Stegostoma tigrinum: one gene and its partner. The protein of the gene in region 2 interacts with the protein of the main gene of each other region in a pairwise test. Links are inferred from orthologs where the notes say so. Each region holds a gene or a part of one and is shown on either strand. Other genes may lie near its edges.

Region 1 (7,934 bases), on a different chromosome or scaffold from region 2:
CAGTACAATACAAATTTTGTGCACTCTAGAGTTTAATCATACCATCTGAAATGTACAACTTTGATGCAGTGTATTGTTCAATGTTTCCTTCCAGCATCGTTACAGTGTGATTTCACTGTGTGTTGTCTATGAATCTGTCTCTGTCATTATTACTGTGAAATTTCTCTGTGTTGTTTCACGTCTCACTCCCATTGCTATTGTGTGATCTGTCTGTGTATTGTTACAAATCTATATCACTCATTGTTATTGTTTGATTTCTGTGCATATTCCATCTGTCTCTTTTTCTTATAGGTACACATTATTGTTCAATCACTACCTCACTCATTGCTGCTGTTTGATTGCTTTCTCCCTAATCAATCCTGTGTGATCTCACTGTAAACTGTCCAAAGTCCATCTATCAAACTGATAGTGTGAGATGTCTGTGTCTGTTGTTTTACACTTCAATCATACTGTTATTCCGCTTTCTTTCTGTTTACTATCAATGCGTAGTCACTAGGAATTGTCCCATGTGTCACTCTCATTATTTTTCTCTGATCTCTGTCTATTGTCCATGTTTCGCTCTCATTGTTACTGTGTGATCTCTGTATGTTGTTCCAAGGCCTTCTCTTGTACTTTTACTTGTGTGTTCTCTATTTATTGGTTCCATGTGTTTCCCTGACTGAGTGATCTCTCCTTGTGTCACTGCATGTCTCAGTCTCATTATTTTTGTGTGAACTATCTGTGTACTGGTTATGTCTCACTTTCTCATTGTAACTGTATGATTTCTGTGTGTTGTTCCATGTCATAGTCTCATTATTACTGTGGGATCCCTCTGCGTATTGCTCCATGTATCTCCTGCTTGGCTACTGTGTAGTCTCTCTGTGTGCTGTTCCATCCCTCTTTATGTCACTGCTACTGTATGAACTCTGTGTTTTTCCACTTCTGACTCATAGTGTTACTGTGTGACCACTGTATTTGATCATGTCTCTCTCTCTCTCTTATTATAACTGTATGACCTCTGTGTGTTTCCCTGTCACATTCTTGTTGTTACTGTGTGATCCGCCTGTGTGTTGTTGCATGTTTCTCTCTGTAATAGTTACCATGTGATTTTGCTGTGCATTTCCCACATATCACTCACATTTTTGTATTGTTCCTTCACATTCTTTCATTGTTGCTGTGTGATCTATCTGTGTATTATTCCTTGTCACTCTGTAATTGTTACTGTGTGATCCCTAGGAATTTTTGTATGTCTCACTCCCATTTTTACAGTGCGATATCACTTTTTTTCACAATATCTATCTCTCTTCCATTGTTAATGTGTCATCTCTCTGTATTTCTTCATGTTTATCCCTCAGATTGTTACTAAGTGATTTGAGTCCATATTGTTCCAGTCCTAAATCTCATTATTACTGTGTGCTTTTTCTGTGCATTTTTCGATGATAATGTTGCATTTGCTGATTATTGATCCATCTTTCTCTTGCTCATTGTACAATGCACAAATATCAGAGTCACAACATCTGATGCTCATTATTACTGTGTGATCACTGCGTATTGTTCCATGTCTCACTTTCATTTTTACTGTGTGATCTGTCAGTGTATTCTTCCATCTCTGTCTCTCTGGTTGTTACTTTTGATATTTCTGTGTATTATTCTTACTCTCATTGATATTATGCACTCTCTCTGCATACTGTTCTGCCTCTCAAGCACTCTTGTTGTTACTTTCTGATCTGTCTGTAATGTTCTGTGTCTCACTGCCATTTTAAATGTATGATCTCTGCATTACTGGCCCATAGCTCACTCTCACTATCACAGTATTGTTTCACATTTCACTGTGGTCGTTGTCATTGTTGTTGTGTATTGTTCCATGTCTCCTTTTCATTGTTGTGTTATGACATCTCTGTCAATTGCTCTATGTTCATTTGTGTTATTGTTACAATTGATATTTCTTTGTATTGTTCATATGTCATTCATTGTTACTGTGAGATCTCCATGTCAATTCTCACAGCGCCACAGTGCAATATCTTTGTCTCATTCTTTTTTCCACATCTCATTCTTATTATTTCCAGTAATTGCTCTGTGTATTGTGCCTGGCTCAGTCTCATTTTTACTGCATTATGTCTCTGTATATAGTTCTAGCCTCTCTCTTTGTGACTGTGCAATCTTTCTGTATTGTTAACATATCACTCTTAGTTACTATGTGATCTCTTTCTGTATTGGTCCGTATCTACCTTTGTCATTGTTACTTTGTGAAGTCTCTCTGTGAAGTCCCATTACTCTCTTCCTTGTTGGAACTTTGTGATCTATCTCCATGTTGTTCCACGTGTTAGCTCATTGATTGTTACTGTGTGATCTTCTGTATATTGTTCCAAAGCTATCATTTCAACAGTTACTGGTGATCATTCTTTGTATTGTCCCATGTTACTGTCTCACTGATACAATGTGATCTCTGTCTATACTGATCCCTATCTATATCATTCAACGTTACTGTGTGATCACCGTTTGTATTCTACCCATGCCTGTCTCTTAATTTGTTGTTGTGAGGTCTGTGCATTGTTCCACACCTTTTTCTCACTTTGTTGCAATGTGTTCTCTCTTTGTATTGTTCCATAGTTCACTCGGATTGTTACTCTGATACCACCCTGTGTGTTGGTCCATGTCTATCTCTCTAATTCCTACCATATGATCTTTGTGTATTGTTCAAAGTCTCATTTTCACTAGTACTGTCTCTTCACTGATTTCTCTATATTGTTCCATGTTTCTTGTCTCTCATTGTTTCTGTGTGATCTCTGTTCATTGTTCCATGTCTAACTTTCACTGTTATTATCTGTTCTCTCTGTTCCATGTCTCTCTTTCTGTCCCCATTGCCTTATTATTGTTGCGTGATTGCTGTGTTTTGTTCCATTTCATAGAGTAATAAAGGATAGAAACAGGCCATTTGGCCCACCATGTCTATGCTGACCAGCAAAAACCAAACTACATTTTCCCACTTAACTGCACTTGATCTATAATCTATTATGCCCAGGCATTTAAGTACACAACCAGATGCTTCTTACATGTTGCGAGGGTATCTGCTCCCACCACCCTCTCAGGCAGTATGTTCCATATTTCTATCACACTCTGGGTGAAAAAATTATTTCTCATATTTCCTCTAAACTACTTGCTCCTCACCATAAATGCATACTGTCTGGTCTTAGGTACATCTGCCATGGGGAAGAGATTTTCACAATCTACTCTGTCTAGAGTGTGGAAGCAGGCTTGGTTCAGACCATCAAGTCCACACTGATTCTCCAAAGAACAGCCCACTCAGACCCACTCCCTACCCCTGTAACCCTACATCCCCAGTGGCTAATCCACCTAGTCTGCATGTCCCTTGACACCATGGGCTATTTAGCATGGCCAGTCTACCTAACCTGTACAGCCTTGGACTGTGGGGAGAAATCAGAATATCCAGAGGAAACCCATGAAGACACAGGGAGAATGTGCATATTCCAAAGTCACCTGAGGGTGAAATTGAACCTGGGTTCCCTGGTGCTTTGTGGCAGCACTGAGCCACCTTGTCATCACTCAGGATCTATGCCTCCCATAATTTTGTATACATCAATCAGATCTTCCTTCAGTCCCCTCTACTTCAAGGAAACTTAACCCAGCCCACCTAGTGTCACCTCAGAATTGAGACTTTCCATTCCAGGCAACATCCAGGTGAATCTCCTCTGCACCCTCTGCAGTGCAATCATGTCCTTCTGATGGTGTGGCAACCAGAACTGCACACAGTAGGCCATCTGAGGCCTAATAAATGTTTTAGCAATTAACAAGACTTTTTTGCTCCAATATTTTATGAAGGCAAGCATCCCGTATGCCTTCTGCAGCACAATGTCTACCTGTGCTGTACTTCCATTGTTCAGGTCTCTCTCTTCTCATTATTATTATGCAATCTCTGTGTATTGTTCCATGTCTCATTTTAATTGTTGCTGTGTGATCTTTGTGGATTTCAACCTCTCTCTCATCGTTACTTTGTGACCTGTGGATTATTTTCTGCCCCCTCACTCATTATTACTGTATGATCTCTGCATTTTTCAGGATCACATTTTCATTGTTACCATCTGATCTCTGTGTAATTTTCCCTATCACTCATTATCTACCTCTCTCTGTTTTACTGTCTGATCTTTGTGTATTGTTCTATATCTCACTGTCATTGTTACTGTCTGATCTATCTGTATTATTCCCTGGCTCTTCTCTCTCATTGTAACTCTCTAATCTCTGTCTATGATCCAGTCTCTCACTCTCATTGTTACTATTTTATCACTGTGGATTGTTCCCTGTGTCTCTCTTTATTAATGTATAATCTCTTGTATTGCTCCCTACCTCTGCATCTCATTAATACTTTGTGATCTCTATAGATTGTTCATATCTCTCTTTTCATTGTCACAATGTGAGCTCTGTGCATTGTTCCATCTCTCTTCCTAATTGTTACTGTGGTCTCCGCACATTTTCCCCGATCTGTCTCTCATTATGACTGCATGATCTGTGTATATTGTCCCAGCCTGTCCTTCTCATTGTTACTGTGTGTTATCTGTGTACTGTTCCTGCTTCTCTCTCTTTCGTTGTTATTGTATGATCTCTATGTTTAATCCTGTCTCTCCCTCTCTCTGTTACTGTATGTTCTCTATATATTGTTCGTATCTCTCTCTCTCTCATTGTTACTGTGTGATCTCTATGTATCGTTCCTGCCTCACTCTCTCTCTCATTGTTACTGTGGGATCTCTTTGTATCGTTCGTCTCTCTCTCATTGTTACAGTATGGTCTCGATTCCAGTCTCTCTCATTCTCATTGTTACTGTGTGGTCTGGATTCCAGTCTTTCTCTCTTTCATTGCTACTGTGTGATCTCTATGTATTGTTCCTGTCCCTCTCTCATTGTTACTGTGTGGTCTCAGTACATTGTTCCCTGTCTTTGTCGTCGTTAACCGTGATATCTGTGTATTGTTTCCCCCACGTCTCTCTCTCTCTCTCTCTCATTATGACTGTGTGATCTCTTCCTGCTGTTTGTGACGTGCCCTGACGCGAGGAAGGGGGTGGCCAGTCAGTCAGTCATTGAGTAAGTCTCCGTGTTTGTTGTGAATGTGCCTCGGTGTTATCTGGCCGTCCTCTGGACTTTAATGATGCGTGCGTGTCGGCGTTTGGATGTCCCCCTGTCGAACAGAGTGCCAGGAGCTCCCGAAGCATGAGGAAGGCAAAACGGGGTGGGGGCAAGAGGAACTAGTTGAACCAACACACATACACAGAGAGAGAGAGAGAAAAAGAAGGGGGGGGGGCTGAAAACAAAGAGAGAGGAAAAGCAACAGCTCACTTTTGTTTTTGTTCTGATTGCCATGCTGTTGGTTTAGCGCTGCGATGGCGGATAGAGCGGGGCGGCAGCAGCAATCCGGAGGAACGGCAGTAAGAGCAGGAACTGAATCGGGAGCGGAGCCAGCGCGGCACTCCCGCCGGTTGCAGTACACTCACCCGCGGGCCACTTGCTGAACCTTTCTCCCTGTCTGCAGCGCCGCCTCGGATCTCCTGCAAAAGGGCTGCAGCAGCAGCAACGGTATGCACCAAGGCTGACTCGCTTTCTTTAACTGGGATCTTTCTGTTCCTCAAGTAATAAACACACACATCCCGTGCTTTTTGTTAAAAACAACTACCCCCCCCAAAAAAATACAAAATCAGCGGAACAAGGGGCAGCAGTGGATTCGAGAGAAACATTGGGAACCTCAATCTTTTGGGGGGGCTGGGGAAGAGAAGGATTCAGAAGCGGAAGAAAGTGGCTCAGAAGTTTGTTAGCGACCGATTTGAGAAGCCCCTACCTTTCCCCCCCTTCCTCCTGCCCCCAGGTCACCCCCATGGGGGCGAAGCAGAGCAGCCCGGCTCCGAGCGGTCGCACCCGGGCTTACTCGGGCTCCGATCTGCCCTCGCACACGGTCAGCAGCAGCAGCAGCCGCTCGGTTGGGGGATCTGCCGCCGCCGCCGCCGCTTCATCATCATCATCGAGCGCCTCGGGCCACGGCTCAGTGGCCGGCTACGGGTTGGCCCCCACGTCCAGCGGCCGCTTCCACTTGGTCTCACCGCCGCCGCCGCCTCCTCCTCCTCCTCTTCCACCTCCAGCCGCCGGCGGTCCCAGGTCAGCGACTGGCGCCGGCATCAGGAACCAGTCGGTCAACATCCCCAACAGCGGCGGCACTTGCAGCTCGCAAGAGGAGTCGGAGGGCAGCACCCCGGAGGAAAGGACACCCGAGCGGCCGGGAGCACACAGCTCAGCTCCCCGCTTACTCATCGGCTCGCTGCCCGCTCACCTGTCTCCTGACCTATTCGGAGGTAAGCGCCTCTTTAGAAACCGGGCGGTGTGGGAAACGCGCTTTCCCGAGAGGACAGGACCCCGAGCCTAACGGGACGGGCTCCCCTGTACTGGGGGGGTCCTACCCTTCTGATGGAAGAGGGGTTTTTCCTATTGATATTGCTAAAAGAATAACTGGAACGAATTTTAACAGGTTCCATTCCTGTCTCCCTCCCTCAAAACGCGGATCCCTCAAACCCTTCAGTGTTCCTTTGTGAACAAAACAAAAGCAATGACAAAAAAGAAGTTCCAGAGATTAATCGGGACCCCTGTTGCTGACAGCACTGCCTTATCAATATGCGGACTTTCAAGCGCTTGCGTACATTCTGGCTCTTTCATTGGGAAAGCGGTCATGCTTTTGAGAATATCGCCCCCCGCCCCTCACCATTTCCCCAAGTACCGTGTTCCGCACAGATTTGATGTCCCCACCGATCTCACAGGCACCACGGACTGAGGCCCATGGCAATTTTTGTTTTTTTTTGTTCTGGGGCACCTTCCCATTATTTACATCTGTGTTTTCAAAACATGTCGTCCCCGCTCTGGGGCTGGCTGTTAACAGGTGATGTGAAAAGGGGCTCTGTGCACCGAGCACTCTCAACTGGAGACTTGCACAGCTCCGACCGGCGACACGTTGCTTATTCCTCGATGCATTATTTACTCGAGTACCGGGTTCTGATTCGGGAAAGCAATTTGCAGCCCCCCGGGTGTTTATATAGTCACTTTACCCGAAGCCAGTAAAACGTGAAACCGCGGTATAAACTCGGCTGTGTGATTGAGGAGTTTGAGATTACAATGTAGATTGCAACTTGGTTGACAAATTGTCAAGTATCCTGCTCACACACTCGCCCCTTTCTCAAGGCGCGGTGTAGTAGAATCAGTGAGTTCCTCGTTGCTCTGGGCGATCCCTGGTGAGGGATCTCCATTATTATTAGGATGTTTTCTGTGGAGAACTGTATGGCCTCCCACCAACACCTCGTCTCAGTAGCGTGTCCTAGGTCAGCTCAGCGAGTTTGGACTATTCCAGGCAGCACAGTGGTTGTTCCTGAATGTGTTTTGCTCTCGTTACATAGCTCATCGCTCTAGTGCTGAAAGTCTCGCCGTGTGATATAGTAAATGGCTAGTAAGGATGAGTTCATCGTTGACACATCAACACAGTTTAGAATTGGGCAAGAGAGATGAATGAGAGTTTTAAAACCTACAGAGGCACATAACTGAAAATTGTATAAATACTGTGATTGTCACAGAGTTTATTTTTCTTTGTATTCCTCATGAATTTCTTCCAAACCCATTATTCTACCTGGAGATAGTAAACTAATCTGCCGCTATAGCCAGGAAGGCTGGTGAACAGTTTGTGACCAGGCTACGGAAATATTTTCCCAGTATACGTTAGGAGGGGTACTAAGGGAGACTTCCACCTGCCTGTGTCCTCTCTACAGGGAGGGATAGAGAGTGCACTCAGCTCTGTTCATCCTGTGGTGGTCAGTTATTATGCGACTGGTAGTCAGTTGTCGGGAGGTTTAGAAATATGTACCTGTGACTAATTTTTATGCTTAAGGAATTTACTTCCAGTTTTTAAATAGGTACCTT
Region 2 (8,066 bases):
TCCCATAACCAATCCACCTAGCCTGCACATCTTTTGAACTGTGGGAGGAAACTTACGCAGACACAAGGAGAATGTGCAAACTTCACACACGCAGTCGACTGAGGCTGGAATTGAACGCGGGTCACTGTGATACAGTCATGCTAACCACTGAGCCACTGTGCAGCCTCATTAGCCTGGCTCTTTGGATTTGTGGTCCAGTGATGTAACTACTATGCCATCAACTCCTCACCAAGTTGATGCATTGGAATTAATGGCAATTATGAGAGGTAAGTAAAAGATTTTGAGTTTTTGGACAGAGGATTTGTAGACAAAAATTGACTCTTGACTATAGAGGGTATTTTCAAATTAAAGACATTTAAAATACATTTTTGAGACTTCTATTAGAACGTTTTAGAGTTACTCATGCAGAGCACAAATGCAACTGCCTCGATCCCCAGCATAGCTGATTTTAGTGGGAAAATGGTTGGGATCAGCAATTCATACTTGTGCATTCTGAGCTAGAGAAAAGAGATATAGCTTGCAGCATTTCCTCATCTTCCAAGACCCCCTATATGCAAGCAGACATCAGTTGAGAGAATCAGATCGGAGAATTATGCTTCTGCCTGTGGGCAAACACTGTGTTGGCACAGGTTATCTCCGTTCATAACTGAAAAAGAGTCAAGTAAATGAGGTTCTAGATTCTGATCAGTATTACCTGTATGAGTCAATAACTTCAGGTGATGGCTGAGGAGAAGCTGCAATTTAAAGCAATATGAAAATTTCTATGCTACTGACTGTACAGTGTACCCATTGAGAATCATTGCGCCAAAAGAAGTGGCTTTTTTGTGCCCACGGCATTAAAACAAAGGCAGTAGTCCCTTGTAACCACAGCACTATGCTCCATCTTTCCCTTGTCATGCCACCAAAAATCCTGGATTGTGACCTTCTTGTTCTGCAGTGGGAAGAAATCAGCTTTTATGCTCCAAATTTTAGCATGAAAACAAAATCAGAAAATATTTATGATCTCGGATATTTACAATAGTTTTTAATTGTTAAAACATGAATATTTTGTTAATTGGAACATTTCAGATGAAGACCAGTGATCTTTTGAGGAAACATTTAGCTAAATATTTGAAATGCAGCAACATGCAACAGTGTGTGCAGTGAGGTTAGTTTTGATCGGAGTATGGTTTTAAAAATTATATAGACATTAGACAGCTGCATAGGCAGATTAATTCGGGATTGATGGAGTGCAATGGGGAGACAGTGATATGTGTGATTACTTGAGCATTGGTACAAGGCTACAGAGGGGTGGTCAGTGGGATTAGTTTTGGATTCAGCAGATGGTTAGCACAGACCTGATGGGCTGAATGCTGCCTCCTGTGCTGTAAACCTTTATAGATCTTTGGTTCCAAGAGCTGATGTTACTGCACTATGTGGCTCCTGCATTCTTATTTCTAGCTGCTCATATCCTTCTTGAATTGTAGAGGAGAAATAAAAGGAATTCAAATAGTCTGATTGCCTCCTTATCTTCCACAATAATTTAGCAAATTTAAAATGAAAACCTAGAGTCCAAGTTCCTTCCTTCCTCTTACGTGACGAAACTAACACCAGAAAACTCTCAGAAACTGGAATGTTTCTATATTCCAGGCTGGAATTTAGACCTAGGTACATTTTAAGTCGTCACTGGATAAGCATATGGACGTACATGGAATAGTGTAGGTTAGATGGGCTTGAGATCGGTATGACAGGTCGGCCCAACATTGAGGGCCGAAGGGCCTGTACTGTGCTGTATTGTTCTATGTTCTAACAAAGTCAAAATCTGGTATCAGTAGATTACCACTCACTCTCATTCTGTAAACATTTTCCTGTTGTCAAAAATATCTCCTGCACATTCTTATACTGTGAGGTAAATTAATCCATGTGAGAAAATCACAAGAATTAAGCAAAGATGATAACAGCACAGGACAGATTTGAATCAATTGAGCAAATGGTGCAATTTAGCTTATCACAATATATCACACTTTTCTTAAATCCCTACAAGTTGTTTCCCTAAGATGTTTATCAAATTCCATTTTAAGTAGAAACATTAAAAAAAACAGGAATAGGAGTAGGCCATTCAGCCCTTGATCCTGCCGTACCATTTAATATGATCATGGCTGATCATCCAACTCATATCCTGTTCCTGTTTTCTCCCATATCATTTGACCCCTTTAGCCCTAAGAACTAACTCCCTAAACTTTTAATGTTCTTGACCTAATTTTTGACCTCAAAGCACTTTCTGTGGCAGAGAATTCCACAGGCTTAACTCTCTTGGTGAAGAAAGTTCTCCTATTCTCAGTCCAAGATACCTTGTATCCTCAGACTGTGGCTATGACGAGTTTTATGATTTTCCCCATGACTCCGAGCACCTCTTTCAAATGTCATGTCACAAACTGCTCTATTTTGAAGGATGACAGGCCCAGATTCTCCAGTCTATCCAAAGACTAAAGTTCCTCATCTTTGAAACCATTTTCATAACTTTTTTCTGCATCCTCATTAAAATCATTATATTCTTCCTTAAACGCAATGCCAGAATTGAATCGCAATATTTCAGTTCAGGCTTAATTTTTACTTTGTAAAGATTTGTGATATAATTCTTGCTTTTGTGCCGATATATTCTCCATTTTCAAAGCCTAAGATGCCATGTGTATTTCTCAATTTACTCTGTAATCTTCAACAATTTTTGCATCTATATTCCAAGGCCCTATTATTCCTGCATCCACTTTACTGACCATTTCTTATTGCCTTTCCTCATGCTTTTTCTAGGTTAAATTTCATCTGTTGAGGGTGAACACTATCCTCCTCATGATTCATTATGCTTTCTAGATTTTGTGTCATCTAAAAATTTTGAAGTTCTGTCCTGTACACCCAAGTCACTAATGTAGATTATGAAAAGCAACAATCTTTATATCAATTGCTGAGAAACACCATTTTAGACCTTTCTCCAGTCTGAAAAACAACCAATGACCACCACTCTGTTTCCCATCATTTATTGGGCATTGCATCTATGCCGCCATTGTTGCTTTTATTCTTTAGGAATCAGCTTTTGTGGCAAGTCAATTACATGACACCTTAGCACAGGTCTTTTGGAAATCCATGTGTGCCACATCAATCACATTTAAGCTCACCAGTCTGTATCTCTTCAAAAATTTCAACCAAGTTAGTTAAACCTGAATTGCCTTTAAACACCCTTGTTAACCTTCTTCACTTCTCCCATTGTTAATGTTTGTGACTGTTACTTTTGTCACAAATTATTGTTGCTAAAGTTTTCCCACCACCAAGGTTAAACTGACAGGCTTGTATTTATTAGTTGTTTAACCATTTTGAACAAGAGCATAACAGGGGAGGCGATGGCCTAGTGATAGTATCGCTGGACTGTTAATCCCGAAACGCAGATAATGTTCTGGGGACTTGGTTAAAATCCCGCCATGGCAGATGGTGAAATTTGAATTCAATAAAATATCTGGAATGACCATAAATCCATTGTTGATTGTCAGGAAAAACCCATCTGGTTCACTAATGGAAACGGTCATTCTTACCTGGTCTGGCCTACATGTGACTCCAGGTCCACAGCAATGTCGTTGACTCTGAACTGCCCTTGGGGCAATTAGGGATGGACAATAAATGTTCTCTAGCCCAAAACTTTGGTTTTAATTACATTGAAGATAATTATGTACAAGGTACACAGTGATTAATTTCAGAACTGTTCATTGTTAACTGTTGGAAAGTTGGCAATTAAGTCCGATGGGAACTCAAATGAGCTTTATGGTATCAGAAAAGGACATGAGTTGTGACAAGAGTGTGAAAATTAAAACAGGTAAGAGAGTTAGCAACTACAATGATTGGGCAAGTGGCTCAGATAAATTGAGTATGTGGATCAAATGTAGACATCTCAGCAACCAATTTACATAAATTATATAAATGACCAGTTTATCTGGTTTGTTGTCAGTTGAGGTAAGTCTAAACTACTGAAAAATGCTTCACTATTCAGTTAATGTAACAAGGTCTTTAAACGCCATTCCAGCCACTGAAACAATCAACAAAACCTTTGACAGCACAGCAAGCCAGGCAGAATCAGAGGAGTAGGAAAGTTGATGTTTCGTATTGGGACTTTCTCACCTTCTCTAACCAAATTTTTTGTCTGAGATTCAATTTTTTTTAAACTAAAAAATGGTAACCTGGCACATTGATACCTGATGTAGGATTCAGAGTAGCAGCTTGCTCTTGTACAAGGCAGAAGCCTGTCGCCTGTGTTACAGACAGGTACCAGCTACAGGATCAGATGGGCTAGATATTACAAGTGGGAGATGTGACAGAAGTGGCTACTGCGAAAGATTATTTCTGCAGAGTTGGACAATCCGGTTCAAATACAGGTCGCGTTGAACAAAAACTGGAGACTTTACTGTTGCAGGTGGTAGGTGTTTAGTTTCTGTAGGTACGAGGGTGGTGCGGGGCAGGACCTCGTTTATACAGCGTGACGTCAGACAGTTAGGGGTCAGTAATTGGGTTGGGCAAATCGCGAGGTGGCTAGTGTAAGGGTACCTAGAACTAACTAGTCATGTGGGGGGGAAGAAAAAGCCAGTTTCAGCGAGCTTTGAACGTTGTAGACTAAGCGATTGTTCAAGTTTACAGGAGCTTAAAACTTGAATAATCTAGGTTGCTTAAAATTCAGGAGTGTTGGAAATTGTGGAGTTCTTGTCCAACTCTTAAATCATGAAAATGTGGCGTAAATCCATTGGTTTATGGTGGGGGAGGAGACTCTGGTGACATTAGGCCGTCCAAAAGCATTCCACAACCGAGTAGGTTGCAGATACAAGCGAAACATTGAACACTACCCGAGTTACAGCTGTTCGTGTTTTTGCTTTGCATTTTCTGACAATGCACAATCACTTTCGTTTCCCAGCAGTGCGGACACACACCCGCAAGGCTGCAGCCTGCAGGGTTAAAGGGAGTCTTGCAGACGGCTTGCGGTGCATTTCGGGAGTTGTAGTCCCCCGGCCAGGTCAGCCCAAAGGGCGGAACCTGCCCGACGCACTACATTACCCAGCGAGCCCCGCACTCTCCCCTGACGCACCCGGAAGTGGGGGAAGGGCGAAAGAAACAGGAGAGAGACGACAGGCTCCGGCTCCTCCCGCAGTTTTGTGGGAAGAGAGAGAAACAGGAGAGCGAGCGCAAGAAAGCATCGCCGCCCAAACATCGAGCGAAAATGGCAGGCGGGCTTCCCAGGCGTATCACCAAGGTACGGGTCTCGAAAGGCTACAAATTATTAAAAAGCATTTTGTTTCGAATAAAAACATTTAATAATTACCTGTTGAGGTGGTAGGGCGATTATTCCATGTTTCTTTTCCCCTTCTGTCTTGCGAAACCACTTCCGCTTCCAGCTAGGGAAGCCTGAAAAGAAAGCCTCATGGCATCAACATGGCGGCGGAGCCCGCACCGTGTTTTGCGGGGGGGTAGGGAGGTGTAGAAATAGAAGAGAAAGATGACCTGACTGGTATGCCGCTTCCTGGGCCAAGCAGGAGGCCTTACAAGAGTTTCTCTTCCCCCCCCCCCCCCGGGAACTAGGGGCGACAGCGGGGTGGGCCCCCTAATTCTCCCGCAGCGGGCGGGGTGCGTCACAGCCTAGAGCCCGGTGACGCCGATGGGTGAGGCCTAATGCGGGAGGTGGTTATATTTTTGTGTTGGGGGGGGGGGTGGGTGGGAGAGGCGGTGTCGATGAGAGAAGGTTATTTTTCTTTGCTTTAGACCGGGTGTGGAGGGGGTGGCAATTTCTTGGGTCGATAGCGCTTCTTTAAACGTGGAGCAGCTCCTTCTCGCCCCCACCGTGCGTGATTTTTAATGGAGTGCGCGGCTCGAATGACCGCCGCGTTTGAAAAGGGCCCTCGCGCCGCTCGGGTAACGGACTGGAGTTGGCGGGGGGGGGGGGTAGAGAGAGAGACACGTGACTTGTGGGGTCCGCTCCCAGGGTTTTTTAAAAAGGATAGACTGAGGGGGGGGGGGGGGGGGCAAGGCGACCGTGTGACCTCGGCCGGTTGGGAGCTCCCCGTCTCCTCCGCCATGTTGTCGCGGCGTAGCCCGGTGTTGATGCTGGATGGGGGGGGGGAGAATGCACTTGTAGGGATTGTGTGACATTCTGCTGGTACGCGAGCGCTCCCGCTTCGGCTGCAGTGGAAGCTTCTAGAAGCTTACTGTGCGGCGTCGGCCCTCACCGCCTTCGCGGGGCGTCCGAACAGCGACGAGAGTAACGCGGCCCGAAAGTCCCGGGCAAACCGAGAGGGCTCGAAAAATACAAATCGGGGACAGAGCAGGGCCGTACGGCCGCCTTGAGCTGGCTCTGCCCTTCCAGGAGGTCGTGACCGGCCTGATTGTTCTGGGAATTCCCACTCCGATAACGTCTAATTTCCCTGCCTTGACTAAATAGTTTGTGACTCTGCTTTCATAGCCTGAGGTCAAGATCCCTCTCTTGGGCTCTAAGACCTCTGACGCTCGTAGTTGAAAGCGAATCGGTGTTAAATTTGAAGTGGGAACGTAGAAGTTATAATTCAGGGAGTTCCGCGGCCACAGACTGTCAATTCCGTTACAGCTAAAACTGAAAGTAAACCTGAAGACGAAAAGTAGGCAACAGAAACCAGTAGAGTAGTAAATTCAATCTGAGCTCTGTCACTTTTTTTAAAGTGGCACCCCAAATTGAGCCAACCTTAGAAGTTGTGCTACGCTCCCAAAGGCGAAGAGCAGATCGTGTAGTCCTCATCTTGCTTGTTATTTGAGGGATGAACCTAGCAGGCCAGGCAGGAAATCTGACGTTTCAGCCCTAGACCCTTCAGATTTTCTGAAGAAGAGTCTAGACCGAAAACGTCAGCTTCCCTGCTCCTCTGCTGCTTGGCCTGCTGTGTTCATCCAGCTCTACACCTTGTTATCTCAGATTTTCCAGCATCTACAGTTCCTACTATCTGTTATTTGTGCAAACCAGCTGTTTATTACCTATATTACAATAATAACTTTGTATTTCATTGGTTCTAAAGCACTTTGTCATGAAAGATGTTACCCCGAAACGTCAGCTTTTGTGCTCCTGAGATGCTGCTTGGCCTGCTGTGTTCATCCAGCTTCACACTTTGTTATCTTAGATTCTCCAGCATCTGCAGTTCCCATTATCTCGGATCTTCAATTGTGTTCTGTTATCCTGGTTAATCTTTACTGTACTGTTGAGGGCACCTCTAAGGCCTATTTTATAATCTAGAGAATGGAACTGCATGTAATACTTTACCTGTGGACTAATAAAGGTCCTGTACAAATTTAAGCATCATTTCACAGGCTTTCAACTTTGTTTCTCCAAATATTCATTGTTTGCATTTGTGGTGGCCTTGTCTGTGTCTTCATGACCACTTTTTGGACTATGAAATCCTGCATCATTTTGCCTTGGGAGGTAATTTAGATTTCCAGTATTTTACTCCCTTGCAAGTAGGGTTTTGCAATTATTATTAAAACACTGTGTGCCAGAGTGAAGACAGCAGTTGCAAGTAGTTGTGTTTCTGTTACTCTAGTATGTTCCCAAGAAGTTACTCAGTGTATTTCTTTACATTGTTGCTAAAATCAGTGCTTTCTTTCTCCAACTGCTTCTGTGCCTCCTGGCTTTTAGTACGAATGTTCAGACATCCACAGTGTTACTTGGACATGCCAAAATGTACTTGAAATGTTTCAAAAGATCAGATATTTCAGTTGCAATTTCCTCCTCTGTTTTATTACTGTCTGTCCTTTGTTAGTCTGGCAATTGTTGATGTGAAACTTAATAGATATAACAGTTGCTTGGGTTTGTTTTGTCAACCATTTTAGAAAATAGGTTGCTGTGTTGACCTATTTTCAATTCCTTGAGGTGACTCTTTCATTCGTTGCCAAATGTAGTGATGGCACTTTGAAGATTTACAGCTATGGGTATATATCATCCATCCTGGAGGCCTTTTTTGATTTTGAAATTGTCTGCCACAATTTACCAGTAATGTAGAAAAGTTTTAGTTATAGTTAGTAAGCTTTAATGGCTCTCACTCCAA

Evidence for each region. The genes of interacting proteins can lie anywhere in the genome.
Region 1: the proteins of ube2na (region 2) and znrf2b interact in a two-hybrid assay, tested with the Homo sapiens proteins (4 studies listed by BioGRID). The link is inferred for Stegostoma tigrinum from reciprocal best matches to the Homo sapiens genes UBE2N and ZNRF2.

The regions. Positions count from the first base shown.
Region 1 is NC_081355.1:21,716,499-21,724,432, reverse strand, and holds the start of znrf2b (E3 ubiquitin-protein ligase znrf2), read left to right. Parts: upstream 1-4,884; 5' UTR 4,885-5,856; coding exon 5,857-6,328; intron 6,329-7,934. UniProt on the Homo sapiens protein: E3 ubiquitin-protein ligase that plays a role in the establishment and maintenance of neuronal transmission and plasticity. Ubiquitinates the Na(+)/K(+) ATPase alpha-1 subunit/ATP1A1 and thereby influences its endocytosis and/or degradation.
Region 2 is NC_081378.1:49,660,849-49,668,914, reverse strand, and holds the start of ube2na (ubiquitin-conjugating enzyme E2Na), read left to right. Parts: upstream 1-5,042; 5' UTR 5,043-5,227; coding exon 5,228-5,260; intron 5,261-8,066. UniProt on the Homo sapiens protein: The UBE2V1-UBE2N and UBE2V2-UBE2N heterodimers catalyze the synthesis of non-canonical 'Lys-63'-linked polyubiquitin chains. This type of polyubiquitination does not lead to protein degradation by the proteasome.